Callithrix jacchus: one gene and its partners. The protein of the gene in region 4 purifies or fractionates together with the protein of the main gene of each other region. This does not show direct contact. Links are inferred from orthologs where the notes say so. Each region holds a gene or a part of one and is shown on either strand. Other genes may lie near its edges.

What was found.
Region 1: the proteins of DDX24 (region 4) and KRR1 purify together in Homo sapiens (affinity purification with mass spectrometry; 3 studies listed by BioGRID and IntAct, with this or other methods). This does not show direct contact. The link is inferred for Callithrix jacchus from reciprocal best matches to the Homo sapiens genes DDX24 and KRR1.
Region 2: the proteins of DDX24 (region 4) and NIFK purify together in Homo sapiens (affinity purification with mass spectrometry; 3 studies listed by BioGRID and IntAct, counting the BioPlex papers as one, with this or other methods). This does not show direct contact. The link is inferred for Callithrix jacchus from reciprocal best matches to the Homo sapiens genes DDX24 and NIFK.
Region 3: the proteins of DDX24 (region 4) and FBL purify together in Homo sapiens (affinity purification with mass spectrometry; 3 studies listed by BioGRID and IntAct, with this or other methods). This does not show direct contact. The link is inferred for Callithrix jacchus from reciprocal best matches to the Homo sapiens genes DDX24 and FBL.
Region 5: the proteins of DDX24 (region 4) and RPLP0 purify together in Homo sapiens (affinity purification with mass spectrometry; 3 studies listed by BioGRID and IntAct, with this or other methods). This does not show direct contact. The link is inferred for Callithrix jacchus from reciprocal best matches to the Homo sapiens genes DDX24 and RPLP0.

What each region holds. Positions count from the first base shown.
Region 1 is NC_133510.1:78,158,898-78,163,011, forward strand, and holds the start of KRR1 (KRR1 small subunit processome component homolog), read right to left. Parts: upstream 2,804-4,114; 5' UTR 2,768-2,803; coding exon 2,683-2,767; intron 1-2,682. UniProt on the Homo sapiens protein: Part of the small subunit (SSU) processome, first precursor of the small eukaryotic ribosomal subunit.
Region 2 is NC_133507.1:106,278,391-106,281,905, reverse strand, and holds part of NIFK (MKI67 FHA domain-interacting nucleolar phosphoprotein), read left to right. Parts: intron 1-867; coding exon 868-1,079; intron 1,080-2,238; coding exon 2,239-2,298; intron 2,299-2,413; coding exon 2,414-2,482; intron 2,483-2,852; coding exon 2,853-3,041; 3' UTR 3,042-3,515.
Region 3 is NC_133523.1:35,090,764-35,094,278, reverse strand, and holds part of FBL (rRNA 2'-O-methyltransferase fibrillarin), read right to left. Parts: intron 3,109-3,515; coding exon 2,911-3,108; intron 2,806-2,910; coding exon 2,704-2,805; intron 2,619-2,703; coding exon 2,524-2,618; intron 1,509-2,523; coding exon 1,338-1,508; intron 139-1,337; coding exon 6-138; intron 1-5.
Region 4 is NC_133509.1:128,875,618-128,879,132, forward strand, and holds part of DDX24 (ATP-dependent RNA helicase DDX24), read right to left. Parts: intron 1,282-3,515; coding exon 1,093-1,281; intron 1-1,092. UniProt on the Homo sapiens protein: ATP-dependent RNA helicase that plays a role in various aspects of RNA metabolism including pre-mRNA splicing and is thereby involved in different biological processes such as cell cycle regulation or innate immunity.
Region 5 is NC_133510.1:123,328,275-123,332,272, reverse strand, and holds the start of RPLP0 (large ribosomal subunit protein uL10), read left to right. Parts: upstream 1-1,191; 5' UTR 1,192-1,224; intron 1,225-1,472; 5' UTR 1,473-1,520; coding exon 1,521-1,574; intron 1,575-2,924; coding exon 2,925-3,100; intron 3,101-3,208; coding exon 3,209-3,296; intron 3,297-3,401; coding exon 3,402-3,548; intron 3,549-3,654; coding exon 3,655-3,840; intron 3,841-3,998.

The DNA of each region.
Region 1 (4,114 bases), on a different chromosome or scaffold from region 4:
GAGGCAGGAGAATTGTCTGAACCCGGAGGCGGAGGTTGCGGTGAGCCAAGATCATCATGGCACTCCAGCCTGGATAACAAGAGTGAAACTCCATCTCAAAAAAAAAATCACTGATAATTCTAGGTTTTCCTAAGTGTTTTCAGTGCCTTATTTCCATATGCCTTTCATCATAACTATAGAAGTTAGAACGAATCTGTATTATTATTACCATTTTATAGAAGACAGTCTGAAAGGCTAAGTGACTTGCCTAAGCGAACACAAAGCTGACTCAGCCTGGGACTCCTTTCACTAAAAGAAAATGCCTCCTAAGGGTCATAAATTATCTCCTGAATCATTGATTTTTAAAAGTCCTGGTCCTGAATTTTAAGAACCCCTGAAATTCAACAGCTATACTCTAATTCAGTTATACTCAAAGGTATGATCTACAGACTTGCAGTATCAGCATAAACTCTAAGTCTGTAAGAAATGCAATTCTTGGGCCCCACCCCAGACCTACTGAATCACAATTTCTGGGATGAGGGACAGAAGTCTGTTTTACCATGCTCAACAGGAGACTCTGAAGTACAGTAAGTCTGAAAAGCAGGTCATTAGTCTATTTATCAACCTCAAACAGCTTAACTTTCTGCATATACTCACATCCACTTAGCTATTTCTGGTTCAAATCACAGACAATTGGCTAGTCTTCATATACCATTCACTCTCCAATATCCTTTAAAGAACTCATTCTACAAAAGTGACTTATATTTAGTGTGTGTGTGTGTGTGTGTGTGTGTGTGTGTGTGTATTCTGGAGACAGGGCCTGACTCTGTCACCCAGCCTAGACCTCTTGGACTCAAGCAATCTGATCCTCTTGCCTCAGCCTCATAACTAGCTGGTTCTACAGGCATGTGCCTCCATGCCCAGCTAATTTTTGTATATATATATATATTTTTTTGTAGAGAAATGGTTTGCCATGCTGCCCAGGCTGGTCTCTTGGGCTCAAGCAATCCGCCCACCTCAGCTTTCCAAAGTGCTGGGATTACAGGCATGAGCCACTGCAACTAGTTACTTACAATGCTTACCTGACCAAGTCCCTATCCAATTTAAAATCTTCAAAGGCTATGTATCAGTTTTTTTTAAAACTCCCCACTCCAAAATCAGAAAAAAACTGACAAATGAAATAAACAGGAAGTTTCACAATTAAGAAAGTACAATTAGCCCCCAAACACGTGAAAAGATATGCAACCTCACAGGTGATCACAAAATGCAAATTAAAACTACAACCAGATACCATTTCATACCTACCAAAATTAGAGAAATTCAAAATTCGGATAATATCACGTATTCGTACGAATGGAAGGCAATGAGAACTTTCATTCACTGCTAGTAGGGACAAAACTGACACAACCCCTTTGGAAAAAAAAGTTAGCATTACTTACACACAACCTACACTTCAGTGATTGCAATCCTATGTTCATAACCTAGAGAAACCCTTGCTAACCAGAAGACATGTACCACGATGTTTTAGCAGTATTGTTTATAATTGTAAGCAATGTGAACAATCCAAATGTCCACCAACGGTAAAATGAAAAAATAAATTGGGGTATATTCATTCAAGGAAACACCATGTAACAGTGAAAAGACTAAAACTACACCTACGGGTATTACCCTGTTTGAAAAACAGAAAGCTAAACCTTAGAAGACACAGAAAAATGCATACAGTCCACTTTGATGTATAAAATTGAAAATGACGCAAAATTAAGCCACTTCGTGACTACAAGAAGAGGAAAAGAAAATAATACAATTCAGAGTGGTTACTTCTGAATCTGGAAAAGAGAATATGATCTGAGAGGTGTACATAAGGGTTTGAGGGGTATAGTAATGCTTGCTCTATTCTACTTAGTAGTCTGAATGCTAGGTTCTTGCATGTTTTTATTATTTAAACTGTATATAAGTTGTAACCTCTGCTATTTACATTACATAACCACTTAATGAGCCACAACAAAAAAACCTTTACTACTTTCCCAATGTATCTAAATTGAGAGTTCGATGTTTTTAACACTTCCTATAGCCTGGTTGAGCAGGTCCCCAGGCTATTTCTCTGACTATCTCTGTCACTCATACTGAAGAAAATGGGTAAAACCAGACTATAACGCAGGAGTTAATTGAAAGGTAGCACAATCTAAAGAGTAAGAACTGTGTCGTCTAATATTTTAGCAATATGACACAGGAATAATTGATAAATCTATTAAAATTTCTTTACTGACAAACTAAAGCTAAGGGCATGTCAGCTCCTTTCCCCACATCTCACTCCATTATCAGGGTCCACACCTGTATGTCATGACTACCTATTTCCACCTCACCCTATTTCTCATTCCGTCAGTGACTTTCGGCCACCCGCGCGCTACCAGGTTCCGCAGCGCCCTGGACATTTTCTCAACCCTCATCCTTTTACAGAATACGCATTCCGCAAGAGCTTCGCTTGGGGGACCCTTCAGCAAAAGAAATAGTTAGGAACACGTGGGTGACACCATATCGGCTAGTCGTTCCGGTGGGCCCGGCTAACAATCTTAATCATCAGCAATTCCGGTACTTAACTACAAAGAACAGGCTCCAGGTGGTTTTATAAGTCAACAAACAACGAAAGAAACATCGCAACTCAACGTCCACAAACCCCAGGCTTCGGTTCCCACATAACATCACCTTGGTTATCCGGCTTCAGCTTCTGGTTACGAAATTCACTTTTTCCAGCAGCTTTTTCTGGCCGCTCCAGCGAGGAAGACGCCATTTTAAAGCTGCTTCCGGTGGCGCCGGATGTGTAACTGTTTTTAAGTCCTACGTGCTAAAATACCCACACTCAAAATGAGTTCCTCGGAACTCAGACGAGGAGACCTGCGCAGTCTCCGTGCGTACGTGCGTTAAGGCCCGCGTTTTTGCCCAACCCACAGCTTCTCCTACTTGGCCAATTGAAGAGCCGGAAACCTTCTCCCAGGATGCACTGCAACCATGGAGTTTGCGTACTGGGAATTGTAGTTTAGCAAGCGGTGCAGGCAAATTGGATAGTAATCCGTAGTTTCCTCGGCCTCACGTTGTAACCTGGACCACCGGACTGCGGAGTGCTACCAGGCTGTCATGGAAGTCGTTTATTCTTTTGATGAATATTTAGATGATGGCCAAATATGCACTAGATATCGGGAGGAAATAAAAATACGAGAATATAATTTATATGGGTCTCACTGCAGGAAGTGACAGGAATAGCTACTATTTATTGTGAAAAATATGTTGGCTTTACAAGAGGAAATAGTACCTATATATACTTACTAAAAATTAAAATTGACAGTCAAATTAAATGAGAACAATATTTCAACAATTTGCTTAGACTATGTTTTAAGCAATTTCGAAGAAAACTTTTAAAAATAAATATGGTATGGAATAAATAAATTCGACTAGTTCTAAGAATTAAACATTGCAATCAATATTACATATGAAAGTTTTAAACTTTTAAAACCTCTAAACAATAGTTTCCACGTGTGAGAACTGTGTGCTCTAGATTCCTTTTTTTGGAAAAGGACAGATGATCTAATTTCAACATCTTTCAAAAATGCATTAGAATTGAAAGAACGATTTCAAATAAATATTGACTAATAACTAAATATCATATTTATTGAATACATATTGAAAATAAATATTGAAAAATCTCTTAAAATCATCTTAGAAGACTAGAAACTCAATAGTGATGATCAAAATGATGGTGTCCAAATTTTCATCTCAATTTCAGTGACTCACTGATTCAAAATAATAATTTAAAATTTAAAATGATGAGAAATAGTGTAAGAAAAATAAAAGATATAATAGAGATGGGGAAAATATTCACAAAACATTTAATGGGTTGATTACAATAATATTCAAGGTGATAAAAAGATGTAAGCAATTCAATAGAAAAATAAGGAAAACATATTAGTAGATATTTGTGATGGTTAATTTTTATTGTCAACTTCACTGGGTAATGTTATCCAGATATTTGATCGAACATTTTTATGGATGTTTCTGTGGGAGTGCTTTTGGATGAGATTAACATTCAAATCAGTGAACTCTGAGTAAGGCAGATTTTCCTCTATACTGTGGGTAATCCTCA
Region 2 (3,515 bases), on a different chromosome or scaffold from region 4:
AGGATTTCAGTGTGTGTCACAAGCAGATTCTAATTGGAATTTTAAAATCTCCCAGCATGAGAGCTGTTTTTACCCTAAATGGAACTGGACAAGTTACCTTGGGGACACACAGGAGAAGCAGCTAACCCATGCTTGTGGGCTGTGAAAGACTTATCTGGGGAAATAGCCTTGACATTGAAACCTGAAGACTAAACAGCAGCCAGCCAGGTGAAGGGGACAGAAGTGAAGACAGACCATTCCTGGCTGAGGGACAATGAATGCCAAACCAGAGGTGCCTGGCGATATGGCTGTGAGGGAATGTGAGGAAAAGTAGCAAGAGATGAGGGAGCAGGAAGAGGCTTCAGGTTGGGTTACTGAGGCTTTCTAAGTCAGCAAGTTCAGAATTTATCCTGAGGGAAGTGGGGATAGCAGCAAAGGTCAGAAAGTGCATTGCAGAATCCATCTAAATGGCAATGGCTATAGCTCTTCCACACGAGAGAAGCTAGAAGGCGTAGAGGACTGACAGCTCCAGATTAGAAATTGATCCTGCAGAAAGGAGCCAGTGCTGCCCCGACCCTGCAGTCCATAGAGTGCAGAGAGCATCCGTCTCTAGATCCTGCTGCCCTTGGGAGGCAGAGCGAAGTTTCTGGCCTCCCTGTGCCCATGGTGGCATGTGGCCATCTTAGGTACCCAAGTTCACAGCTGACAAGGCTACCCAGGTAGCGTCTATTCATTTTCCATTGCTGTGAGAAAAGCTGGGATTACAGGCGTGAGCCACGTCATGATGATTATGTGAGGAATGGCACTGGGGAGATTCTAAAGTTAACATTAAAATCTCTTTCCTACCACTTGGTTGAAACTTTTTATGTTTTTTCTTTTTAAAAATAGGTCGTCTTATGCCACCTAAAAAAGTACATAAAGAACTCTTTAAAGACTGGAATGTTCCATTTAAGCAGCCGTCACATCCATCAGTGAAACGGTATAATCGGAATCGGACACTAACACAAAAGCTACGGATGGAGGAGCGATTTAAAAAGAAAGAAAGGTTACTCAGGAAGAAATTAGCTAGGAAGGGAATCAATTATGATTTTCCTTCTTTGGTAAATATGTCTTCATGAAATCTTTTTTTGTGATTTGTTGTGGGGAGGGGAGGGGGTGGCTTTGTATCTCGTAAAGTACCTAGCCTAGTACTTATCACAACCTTGGCTCACTGCAGCCTCTGCATCCTGGGTTCAAGCGATTTGCCTGCCTCTAGCCTCCCAAGTAGCTGGGATTACAGGTGCATACTACCACGCCCAGCTAATTTTTGTATTTTTAGAGATGGGGTTTCTCCATGTTGGCCAGGCTGGTCTCAAACTACTGACCTCAGGTGATCTGCCCACCTCAGCCTCCCAAAGTGCTGGGCTTACAGGTGTGAGCCACCATGTCCAGCCAGTTTTTTGACTGATTTTTTTTTTTTTGATACAGAGTCTTGCTCTTTTGCCCATTCTGGAGTGCAGTGGCACAATCTTGGTTCACTGCAACTTCCACCACCCAGGTTCAAGCAATTCTGCTGCCTTACCCTCCTGAGTCACTGAGAATACAGGTGTGCACCACCACACCAGGCTAATTTTTTGTATTTTTAGTAGAAATGGGGTTTCGCCATGTTGGTCAGTCTGGTCTCAAACTCCTAATCTCAGGTGAACATCCACCTCAGCCTCCAAAAGTGCTGGGATTACAGGCGAGAGTCACTGTGCCTGGCCTGACTAAACTTTTGAAACATTGTAGGTTCTTCCTAAAACATGAGAGCAGATTCTGTTATTTCCATTATACAGAAGAGGAATTGTCCTTTAAGTAGATAATCTGACTGAACCTTAGGCCCTGCTACTCTTGTGAACCCATCTGGGAACTGAGACGGTGAAGCTTGAAAAGGGGCATGCAAGCACTGCTTTCCCTGTGCTTTGCTTGTGACTTAGGGTGATGAGGGTGGCCTGCCTTTGCACATTCTTCCTGCTTCCACCCTCCTGAATTCAGGATTCTGTGAATCAGTGAGCTCCAGATTTGGGTCTTCCCTTCAACCTCTGCGTCTCTGTCCGTTCCTCAGCTGGGCTTCTCCTAGTTTTGCCCTTTACTTGAGATTATTCACTGTATTGAGTTTTGCTTTTTAAATTGAAATGCTCTGTCATTAGGGAGGATTTACTGATAATATATATGAGGATCTAATGCTAAGTTTAAAAAGAAAAGATATGAGACTGTTAATTTATAATTTCTTTATTGAAGATTTTACAGAAAACGGAAAGTATTTCAAAAACTAATCATCAGAAGTCTACAAAAGGCCAGGTAAAATGCTTTTTATCGTATGCCCAATATTAGAGAAAGATAAGTAGGAAAACATTTAAGACTACTATAACTGATCAATATTCAACCTGATGTGTCTTTTAACATTTATTTTAAGGGTTTACACAAGAAGAAGAAAAAGGTGGTCGGCACTCTTGACACTCCTGAGGAGACTGTGGACAGCCAGGTAAGATTGTCTTCCATATTCCGGACACCAGGTTTATACAAAGAATTTGAAGAAAGAAAGGCAGTTTCTGCCACTCTCGTATTAAGATTTCAAATTGAATATTGTCACATTTGGTAGATCTTTATTGTCGATTTAGCAATTTTCTGCGTAATACCTTATAATGGAACGTGCTATGTTCCAATTGCGAATTTCTGTACTAAGTTTGATAAGCATCTCAGTTCTTTATTCTTTACAATAGTATCACGAAAAGATTGAAACAGGACTAAAATAATGTGGTACAACTTGTAAAATAGAAGAGAGGTGATGTTTCGGGTACAGTGATAATCTTGTTCTTCATTTATGTATTATAATCTTTCCTTGTTGAATCTAGGGCCCCACACCAGTTTGTACACCAGCATTTTTGGAGAGACGAAAATCTGAAGTGACTGGAATGGATGAAGATGATAAAGATAATGAAATAGTTTTCAAACAGCCTGTATCCTGTGTAAAAGAAGAAGTACAAAAGACTCAAACACCTGCACGTTCACGGAAGAAAAGGCGAAGAAAAAGCAATCAGTGATTTTTAATGTATTATATTTTCTGAAAAATATAACATTTTTCTGAGGGTGGAGTTTGTATTTTACTAGGAACAATGATATGCAACCCCTGACAAGATTGTCAGAGGAAAAATACACTGTTTGGTCAAGTTAAGGAAAGCAGTCTGTAATTTTGGATTGCCTGCCCTTGGCTGAAATACAGGGGTGCAGACCGGTTTACACTGGCTTGGCTGACATTGTCTCTTTGTCCTGTTCTCTATTTTTCTTTTGACATTTCATAGCTCTCCTTAGTTACTCTGCCTGGATAGAAAGGTGACCACTAAGTGCAGGTTTAAGTACTGAACTGCAGCCTTTTCTGTCACCACCAGTTAAAGACCACCAATCTTGTTTGTCCGTCTGCATGATTTGTCAGGGACATTAACTCATGAGGGTGCTTTAGATTCCAACATCACATGGTTGAAGCTGGAAGTCAAATTTTATGTAGAGTGAGAAGGCAG
Region 3 (3,515 bases), on a different chromosome or scaffold from region 4:
CTCACCGATGAGCATGCGGTATTTGTGTGGGTGCCGAGCATCCTCAATCACAGGAATAATGTTGGTCCTCTTCTTGGCCAAGTTAATGAGGTCACGGCCAGAGCGGTGGGAGAACTCAACTGCATAGACGAGACCATCCTAAAATCAATTAAAAATTAAAGAACAATCATGATGCTAGTTTTCATGTATGGAGTGCCTACTTTAGGCCCATACACTATGTGTAGCATCTCTTCCCACCCCAAAATCAAAACTCTACCACTATTGTTATCATGTCCTTTTTACACATGAATAAACTGAGGTCCAGAGACATAAAGTCACTGGCCAAGGGTTATTCATCAGGTAGCAATAGTACCCAATCCATTTGCCTGATCTGAGAGCCTAGGCTCCCAACAAAGGGTTAAAACCAGGAGGCACAGAGATGAAGTAACAAGTCAACCACTGCTTTAAGCTCCTTATGGAAATTAACTCATATAATTTTCACAAGTCTATGTTCCAGAGAGGTAAACTGAGGCTTGGATGGGTTAGGTAACTTTCCTGATTAAAGCCTGAGGGTTTTTTTTTTTTTTTTTGAGACAGAGTCTTGCTCTGTCACCTAGCCTGGAGTGCAGTGGCGCAATATTGGCTTACTGCAACCTTGCCTCCCAAGTTCAATCAATTCTCCTGTCTCAGCCTCTCGAGTAGCTGGGATTACAGGCACACGCCACCATGCCCAGCTAATTTTTATATTTTCAGCAGAGACGGGGTTTTACTCTATTGGTCAGGCTGGTCTCGAACTCCTGACCTCAAGTGATCTACCTGCCTCAGCCTCCCGAAGTGTTGGGGTTACAGGCATGAGCCACCTCGCCTGGCCAAAGCCCAGGGTTTTAAGGCACTACACTCAACAGCTTATAAACATGTAACAAAGGGTACCAGAGTGTGACATGCAGGTGCCGGGGGCCCTTTAAATGGGAAGCCTATTATACAACCACACAGAAATGCAGGCTCAGAAACCATGAGATCTCCTGGTTCTTTCTAAAGAAACCAAAAGAGCAGGTTTTAGGGGCATCACATTTTAAAGAGGGCCATCAAATCAAATAGTCTGGTATCTATACTTCCAGCTGTCTCTCTAAGGTTGGCTACCCCACACCCACATCTCTTGCCTTGAGGCCAAGAACCCAGGAGCAAGGTTGAATGACACTATCGGGTTCAAGCTGCTCCTTTTACTCGAAGGCGCTGTGAGAGAAAAGGGCCTTGCCCTAAGTCACACAGTACGGGCAAACAGTCAAACCTTGATATTCTAGGTTGGCAGAGGGGAGGCAGCCTTTGCCTCCTGCCCGACTCTCTATCCACCCACTCACCGGACCGACGATGTCAGAGACATGGGAGACAGTGGTGCCCGAGGCAGCCCCGAGGTAGAGCACCTTGGCCCCCGGTTTGATGTGGATTTGGTCCACACCACCCAGGATTGCTGCTGCCAGCTTGGAGCGGAAGGGGTTCCAGGCTCTGTACTCGACCTTGTCGTCTCCTTCCTAGACCAAGAGAGATGGGGATGAAAGTCAGTGCTAGACTCTTCTGCAAGACCTCCCTGCCCTTAACCCCGAGGCCCTTGAAAGGAACTGGGCCGTTCTATCACTGCACAAGAACCCCACATGCATACAGAGCAGTGACCATGACACATGCAGTCGCTGCTCTCATGGAGGTCACTGACTCAAGGGGCAGCAACAGAATACACACAGAGTAACAGTAAAAGCAGCACTCGTTCAACAAATGCACCGTGCCAGCACCCACTGTGGGCCAGACCCTGCTCTAGGCCCTGGGGATACAAGACAAGGATCCCTGCTCAGAAGGCATGAGTATTCACCAAACTAACTAAAGGTAACATGGCATATGAGATGGTGACAGGTGTCAAGGAGAGAAGACGAAGCCAGGAAAGAAGATACAAAGTTTGGAAAGCAGGGCAAGGAGCAGGTGAAAGTGAGAAAGGGGACCAGGGACGGAGTGAAAGGCAGATTCCGAATCAGACCACCAAAGGAGACAAAGGACCATTCGAGTTATCTGAGGAAGGACATTCCCAGGAGAGGTAAAGCCATTAGGAAAGGCCCCTGGCCTCAAAGAAAATGACATGGGGTAACAGGACAGGGCAGCATGGTGAGGGCTGCCTCAACACACAGGGTGGTGTGAGGCAGCCTGGAGAAGCAGATGATAAGAAAGCAGCCTCCACAGAGCTGGAGTGGGAACAGCAAGGCCAGGGTGGCTGAAGGGCACCTGGTCAGGGGGACAGGAGTAGACAGGGCCAGGGAGCAGGGAGGGGGAACTAGAATGTGCAGGGCCTTGGAGGCCACAGTGAAGAAGTCAGGACTGTAACCTGAAGGCAGTGGGGGGTCACAGAAGGCGGGTGAGGAAGGGAGCAGACAGTGTGGTTTACATATTATGATGGTCCTCCAGCTGTCATGTGCAGGACACAGGGTGAAGGCAGACACACCAGACTACTGGCTACACCCTCAGCTGTGCCCCTGGGGGCTTGGACAGGATCCCAGGTCTCACCGGAATCGAGACTCTCTTCTCTCCATAAACTGATTCCCCAGGGACCAGGTTCTTGGTGACCAGTGCATCTTCCTTTCCTCGACAAATGAAGACACCTGGTTGAGGGGATCAGAGCAGGCCTGAGGACCCCCGGCCCCTTCCTGCCCCGAAGCTCAGCCGGCTCTGGGCTTCCTCACTCACCCTCATGCCGATGTGGCTCTACCATCACGTTCTTCCCCGACTGGTTTCCTTTTTTTCCTCCCCGACCACGACCCCGGTTGCCACCAGAATGGTAGCCTCCACCTATAAAGGTGAGGCACAACAGGAGAGGAAGACCCTGCATCTCTGTCCTCCCCACTCCCGGCCCCAGGAAGGCCTCCTCCATAACCCCTCGCCAACCTTACTCACCACCTCTTCCTCTTCCTCCTCCGCCGCCGCCGCCACCACCGCCACCGCCACCGCCGCCACCTCCTCCTCCTCCTCGTCCACGACCCCTAAAGCCTCCACCTCGACCTCGGCCCCCACCATAGCCCCCTCGGCCTCCACGACCACCACGGTCACCAAAGCCCCCTCGGCCGCCAAAGCCACCCCCACGGGAACTGAAACCTGTGGTGGAAAAACAAAAGCAGGAATCAGAGCAATGAAGCTTAGAAGGTTAAACAGCCTTGTACCCAGCAATACCACTCTGGCAAGAAACTAAAACACGTGTCCGTGTGCACCAGGATGCATTTCCAGGAATGCCCACGGCAAAAGAATAGCAGGACTCACACAAATGTCCATCAACAGAACGGACAAATAAAACAAGATATTCACAATCAAGATCATGAATATGATCTTCAGTTATATACAGTTAAAAATTTTTTTTGCTTAGTGCTTTTTTTTTTTTTGAGACAGGGTGGAGAACAGTGGCAGAATCATACCTCACTGCAGCCTTGAACTCCTGGACACAAGCAATTCTCCTGCCTCAGTCGCTGAAGTAGCTAGGACTACAGGTATGTGCCGCTACTCCTGGC
Region 4 (3,515 bases):
TTTCCTGATAAAGCCCAGTGGGCAACCATTACCCTGTGTAAATCTGTGTGTACACATGTAAGCACAACCGCCAACATTCCCAACAATCAACCTAACAGCCACATCCTTTGAAAACCCTTACTGGTTTGACTGCCAGCCTATAGGTAACCAAAGTGAAGTCTTACAACAGCTGGCTTCTATAGCTGAGCTAAGAAAAAAAACATTTCAATTCTCCCTCGAGGGGGTTTTAGGGCTACAATGCAGTGGCAAGATGTCCTGAGAAAATGAGAAAGATCTTGTAATGTGGGGAAAGGAACCGTGGGAAGTCTGGGTAGCTCCTAACCCTGCTTACTAATGGGAATTCTCTTATGATTTCCACCTTTCCATCCTTATCTCCACCCTATTTCCCCACACAGCTAATATTTCTTTCGAGAGAAGCCAACAGTCCTTGAATTGTTCCATGCTTTTGCCCCCTCAATTCCTGGTATTCCATCTCCTCTGTACCCTTCCACATATTTGCCTTCAGGAAGCTTGGAGAGAACATCTTCTCCTCCCAATATAACCACATGCCCAGTGATTCCACATGGCTCCATTGTAACTGAACTTAATATTCACAGCTGGCAAACCTCTGGGAGGAGAACCCATCCCACTTTGGTCCCTAACACAGTGTCCCTCAATAAGCAGCACTCACCTGGTTAATGCCTGAGTTAAAATAAAACCCCAAAGACAGAATTTACTGGCACCTGCTTCAGGGATGTGCCAAACCTGTAGCATCCACCTCAGCAAGAAAACTAACCACACTGTCTACAACCCTCTGAGAGAATGTCCAGGCAGCCAACCACTGCACTGTCCAGTGAGGAGGGGGAACTTCATGGCCAGACAAGGAAGAAATGGTTCAGGGAGAAAATGCCTCACACCTTCAGTCACTCCCCTTTTCTCCCTTTTCCCAGGCATGTTGCTCTCAATCCTTTCTACAAGTCTCTTTGTTCAGCCATTGGCAGAACCATTCCTTAGTTTTCAAGGGTTATGCTGCCAGAGCCCCACAGTGAGGTGCTCTGTGAGGGAGCAGCACAATCCCTTCATTAGCACTGGGCTTTTAACTTTGCTCTCTACCTTGACCACGTCCATGTATTTTGTCTGCACGGGGAATAGTGGGATGTCTTCATCTTTCTTGAGGGTTTTGTAAATCTTCTTAAAGTTGATCACATCCTCAGGCCCAATCAACATCAGGCTGAGGCCTTCGTTGGTAGCTCGAGCAGTTCGACCACTTCGGTGTACATATATCTCTGAGGTACGTGGGACCTGCCACAGGAAGAACTGGGAGATCAAAACATGGCCACTGCCAAACACTGGTCCTTTCCTCAGGGCCACATCCCCAAGCTGGACCCTCCTCCCTCCCAGCCAGGCAGGTAGAAACCTCTGCAGCATTGTAAAGCAATCTAACCCTCCTCTCTTAATCCCACATTCAAAATATTCCCAGGTTTAGCCCATTCACTGTGCAGGCTCTCCTCTCCCATGCTCCTGCTGGTTCAGGTCCTCAGGACCATGCAGCCAGACCACAGCAGTCACTTATTATCCAGGATTTAAAGTGAAGCAGCCCAGCTCCACAGACCATGTTAATCACTGGGTTATACTAATCCAATATATATATTAGCCATAGGTAACGTGGCATGGTTACTGACATTCACTGAGCCTCTGGCACACAGCATTAATCAAGCACAACAGTCTTCTCCACTGGACCCAGATAACATCTAGGTATCTTTTCCGATATAGTACTTTAAGCAGTACTTTATGAACCGTTCATAAGAGTTCTAGAAATGAGATTTATTTGCCATTCTTTGTTTAGAGGATAAAAGTGTCTTAGAGTGTCTTCAACTTGACACTCAGGGCCTTCAGCAACTTGCCCCCAACTTACCCCACCAGCCTCAGCAACTACTCCTTTCCCAACACATCTCCTCTTACCACTCTAAGCCAAGTGCCCTTGAACATTGCCCATTTCTTTGCTCCTTCTTTTTCTGCCTCTACATGTCCAAATCCTCTCCACCTTAAATGCCAGGCATCTTTTTAGAAAGTACTTTCCAGACTCCCAAACCAGAAGTTACCTCTCTCTTCCATTGTATTTTGTAATTTTCTAATAACTTCTACCTTAAATTATGGCTGTGGTCATCTCACCTCCTCTGCTGGATCCAATACTTCTTAGGGGCTGGGACTGCATTTGATTCATCTTGACTCCACAAAGGTTGACCCAGCTACTTCCCCCAAAAAGGGTAGAGTATATAGAGACTTGCTAAACCAAAATTGGCACCTGTGATACCCTGGAATATATATTTACTCTTCATCCCTGTTTCCTGGCAAAGGAATCTCCAAAGTAATGTCTTTTTGTATGCTAATGACAAACTACTGACTGATGGCTGATAGCCCCCTAGGTAGCTTCAGGATGGGGGCTGGTCACCAGAAAGGCCAAGGCAGGATTAGAAGGTTGGGACTTTCAGCCTTCCTTCCCAAAGGCCAATGGTTTAATTTATCATCTTAATGAAGTCTCCATTAATAGCCCCAAAGGACAGGGTTTGGAGAACTTTTGAATAAACTTAGTATGTGGAGGTTCTTGGAGGGTGGTATACTCAGGACAGGCATGGCGTACCCTCAGCCTATACAGCTCCCCATCTATATTCTTCGTAATATCCTCTATAATAAACTGGTAAATGTGTTTCTTTTAGTCCTGAGAGCTGCCATAGCAAATTAATTGAACCCAAAGAGAGGGGTCATGGGAACCCCAACTTGAAGCTGGTTGGTCAGAGGTTCTAGAGGTCCGGACTTATTGGCTGGTCGTGAGAAGGAGGGACATCTTGTGGGATCTGAGACTATCTCCAGGAAGACAGCATCAGAAAATGAAACTGAATTAGAGGACACCCAGCTGGTGTCTACTGCTTGATATGTGGTGAAAACTACCACACATTTGGTTACAGAAGTCTTCTGTGTTGATTGTTGTTGTGAAGTGAGAGAATGGGAAAAAGCACTTTGAGTTTGTTTTTTCACTGAAACAGCAGCCTAAAAGATTTTTAAAAGCACAAAGAGGAATTAAAGCGAAAAAATAATAATGCCATAATACCTACCATTTATTGAGTGTTTACACTGTGCTACCGGCTTCATCAGCATCAGCTCAATTTAATTTTCAGGATAACCCTATGGGGTAGCTAGCATTGCTACTTCCAGTTTACAAACAATGACATGGAAACCAGAGGTACTAAATAACTGCCTAAAGCTAACCAACTACGAAGCAGTAGTCTGCGGATTAGAACCCTGGCAGTCTGGCTCAGGTGCCCATACTCCTAACCACAACTCTATGCTGATATTCACTAGACGCACACACTGATATTATTGCTACTATCAATGGCAGTTAACGTGAGTAAGTGCTTACAATGTGCCAGGTTCCTTCTTAAGCTCTTTATACCTAGTAACTTATCTTAATAAGAACCCTAAATAGGTACTCACTGCTGTTTAAAACACGAGAAATATTAAATATTTTACAAATTTAA
Region 5 (3,998 bases), on a different chromosome or scaffold from region 4:
GGGCAATATGGCGAAATCCCATCTATACAAAAAATTAGCCAGGCGTGGTGGTGTGCACCTGTAGTCCCAGCTACTTGGGAGGTCAAGGCTGCAATGAGCTGAGATTGCTCCACTGCATTCTGCCTGGGCAACAGAGAGAAACTCCTAAAAAAAAAAAAAAAAAAAAAAAAGATCTGATGGAGATGAATTACTCTGTGGATGTTTGTTGGCTAGTTTTCTAGGAAGAGGAAATGGCCAATGCAAAAGCCCTCCAGTGAAGCCTGCTTTGGAAAAGCAGCAGAGCATCATCTGGCTGGAAAGCAAATAAGTCAGAGGGAAAACATCTGAGATAATTATAGAGGGCATGACGGGCAGATAGGTAGGGCCTTGTAGGTAGTTTAGATTTTAGGTTTTACTCTGTAGGAAACGGAAAGTTTTGAGAAGATAAGGAGATGAGCTGACTTAAGGGTTTTTTTAATTTTGTTTTGTTTTGTTTTGAGACGGAGTCTCTCTCTGTCGCCCAGGCTGGAGTGCAATGGCACGAGCTTGGCTCACTGCCAACTTCTGTATCCCGGGTTCAAGCGATTCTCCTGCCTCAGCCTCCCCAGTAGCTGGGATTACAGGCATGCGCCACCACAGCCGGCTAATTTTTGTATTTTTAGGACAGTCTGGGTCTCGCCATGTTGGCCAGGCTGGTCCTGAACTCCTGACCGTGTCAGGTGATCCACTGGCCTTGGCCTCCCAAAGTGCTGAGAGTACAGGCAGGAGCCACCGCGGCCGGCCAGGTTTTAAAAGTATCCCTCTGTTTTGGTAGGAGGAAAAACAAACTAGAGAAACCAAGAGACCATTCTGCTCTAAGCATTGCAATTATGTCTCAGCCCCATGTCACGCTGTTTAGTTTGCTGAGCTGGCCAGGTGGCAGAGCGAACTCCCAATTAGCTTACTCTAGCGCCTACAAGAAGGCAGCTCCAGCCCAGCAGGTGGCAGCAGCTCAGAGCAAGCGCCTCCAACGCCAGGCAGCTCCTTCCTTCACGATCCTACTTAAAGGCGGCTTCCGTTAACTGAAGTGGCAGCAATATTATCCAATGGCTGCTTGTATTCGTTCGGCTTTGTCGAACGAGCGATGTCGCCAGCCAATAAGTGGGGGCGTTTATCCGCGGTTTCTGATTGGCTACTTTGTTCGCATATAAAATGAACGCTCTAGCCTGCGGCCCTTCTCTCGCCAGGCGTCCTCGTGGAAGGTTTGTGCGTCAAGCCGATCGGCGCCAGGGGCCAGAGGCGGGAAGCTTGGAGGGATCTTTGGGGGCCTTTTGGGAACATGGAGTCCTCTCCTGCTCCCCCTGGGGCCTCGGTGATGGCTCGCACTCCCCGAGGTGGCAGCGGCTGCCCCAGGCCGGGCCGCCGGGCGCTTGCGCGTGTCCTGCTCCATATAGGTCTGGGACCGGGGGATGGGTGCCGGGGTGACCAGGCCTGAGCTCCCTATCTCTCCTCAGTGACAGCGTCTTTAAACCCTGCGTGGCAATCCCTGACGCACCGCCGTGATGCCCAGGGAAGACAGGGCGACCTGGAAGTCCAACTACTTCTTGAAGATCATCGTAAGTGTGGGCTGGGTCGCCGCTGCCCTTCATGTTTCCCCAGCTCAGATAGGGACAGTCGGCTGCTAAGTGCTGAGGGTCTCCTCAGTTCCGGCTCCTGAATCAGGCCATTTTCAGGAAAATCCTGTTTAATTAACAATTCCCTGAGATAGGTCGCCTCTGTTGCAGATAAACAGGCTCAGGCAGGTGGCTAAGATGACAGCATTCATATCCAAGTCTGTTTGGCTTCCAAAAGAGTGCACATTATGCTTGCTTTTTTATTTTTTTGAGACAGAATCTCTGTCGCAAGGCTGGAGTGCAGTGGCGCGATCTCGGCTCACTGCAACCTTCGCCTCCCTGGTTCAAGCGATTATCTTGCCTCAGCCTCCCGAGTAGCTGGGACTACAGGTGCCCGCCACCACGCCCTCCTAATTTTTGTATTTTTAGTACAGAAGGGATTTCGCCATGTTGGCCAGGATGGTCTCGATCTCTTGACCTCGTCATGTGCCCGCCTAAGCCTCCCAAAGTGTTTGGATTACAGGTGTGAGCACTTTTACTCCATCTTTGAGAAGGTCTGAGGTCAGGAATGACTCATTGTAAGGAAGCAAGTTGTTGCATATTTAGGACCTGTCATTCAGGAAACTGAAGTGTCCAGTGACTCTTCTTTTGGATGGCCTTTTGGGTGGGTCCCCCTTGCCCAGAAACACTGACCATACTGCACTTAAGCAATTAGGCAGCATTGTAAAGCATAGCTTGTATTACATTCTCCAATACTTCGAAGGTTTTCAGACACAAAACCCAAAAGAACTGTACAAAAATCCAATTATCCACACCCAGATTTTTTTTTACAAGTAATATGTTGCATATTTGCTTGTGTTGTGTTTTGAAAGCTGTGAATCTACCCGTCCTCTCGACCAGCTTATTTGGAATAGTCCTTTTTTATCCTTTTTTTTTTTTTTTTTAAAGACGGGGTTTCACCATGTTGGTCAGGCCGGTCTTGAACTCTGGACCTCAGGTGATCTGCCCACCTTGGCCTCCAAAGTGCTTTTTTATCCTCTTATAACCATTTTCGTGAATCAAACATGCCTCATAATTGGGAATAGTTAAAAACTAAGAAATTAAAGGAGAAACTCCTTGATTGAATGTAGAAACCTAATTTTCACCGTTTCTACCCAGCAATCGTCATCCAGTTTGGCAGTGTTACAACGTAGCTCCTAGTGGGAAGAATGGCCCCAATCTCCCTTTTGCTTCAAAAGCCTATCAGAAAGGGAGTGAGATGGAAACAAATTGTGGCGTTTTTCAGTTTCTCCTGGCATTTTTCCCCCCTCTTTCTTCCTGTTAAACTTGGCTTTTCTCTGGCTTTTTTTGTAGCAACTATTGGATGATTATCCGAAATGCTTCATCGTGGGAGCAGACAATGTGGGCTCCAAGCAGATGCAGCAGATCCGCATGTCCCTCCGCGGGAAGGCCGTGGTGCTGATGGGCAAGAACACCATGATGCGCAAGGCCATCCGAGGGCACCTGGAAAACAACCCAGCTCTGGAGAAGTCAGTCAGTTCCCGGGGCAGCTTCGTCCTCCCTCCTCCGTGCGAGTCTCCCTCTTTCTGGAAAATGGTGCTGAAAGGTGATTGTTTTCCGTAAACTTCTCTTTGCAGACTCCTGCCTCATATCCGGGGGAATGTGGGCTTTGTGTTCACCAAGGAGGACCTCACTGAGATCAGGGACATGCTGCTGGCCAATAAGGTAAGGGGACAACTGGACTGGCTAAAGAGGCTTTTATCTTTGCTCCTTAAAGCAAAACGGACGATTCTCAGTGGAGACACTTTTCTCACTGTTGTCTTTGTTCAGGTCCCAGCTGCTGCCCGTGCTGGTGCCATCGCCCCATGTGAAGTCACTGTGCCAGCCCAGAACACCGGTCTGGGGCCAGAGAAGACCTCCTTTTTCCAGGCTTTAGGTATCACCACCAAAATCTCCAGGGGCACCATTGAAATCCTGGTGAGTGGACCTGGTTTGCCTGTGCTAGCCAGCCAAATGGGGGGCTTTTTAGTGGCCATGGGTCTGCTGGATGTTCAGGTGTTAACTGCCCCCATTTCTTGTTCAGAGTGATGTGCAGCTGATCAAGACTGGAGACAAAGTGGGAGCCAGTGAAGCCACGCTGCTGAACATGCTCAACATCTCTCCCTTCTCCTTTGGGCTGGTCATCCAGCAGGTGTTCGACAATGGCAGCATCTACAACCCCGAAGTGCTTGACATCACAGAGGAAACTCTGCACTCCCGCTTCCTGGAGGTATATGCTCTCAGCCTGGCCCCCTCTTACACTGATGGTTAAGAGCATGACAAGTGCTGGGCACGGTGGCTCAAGCCTATAATCCCAGCACTTTGGGAGGCCGAGGAGGGTGGATCACGAGGTGAAGAGATCGAGACCATCCTGGTCAACAAGGTGAA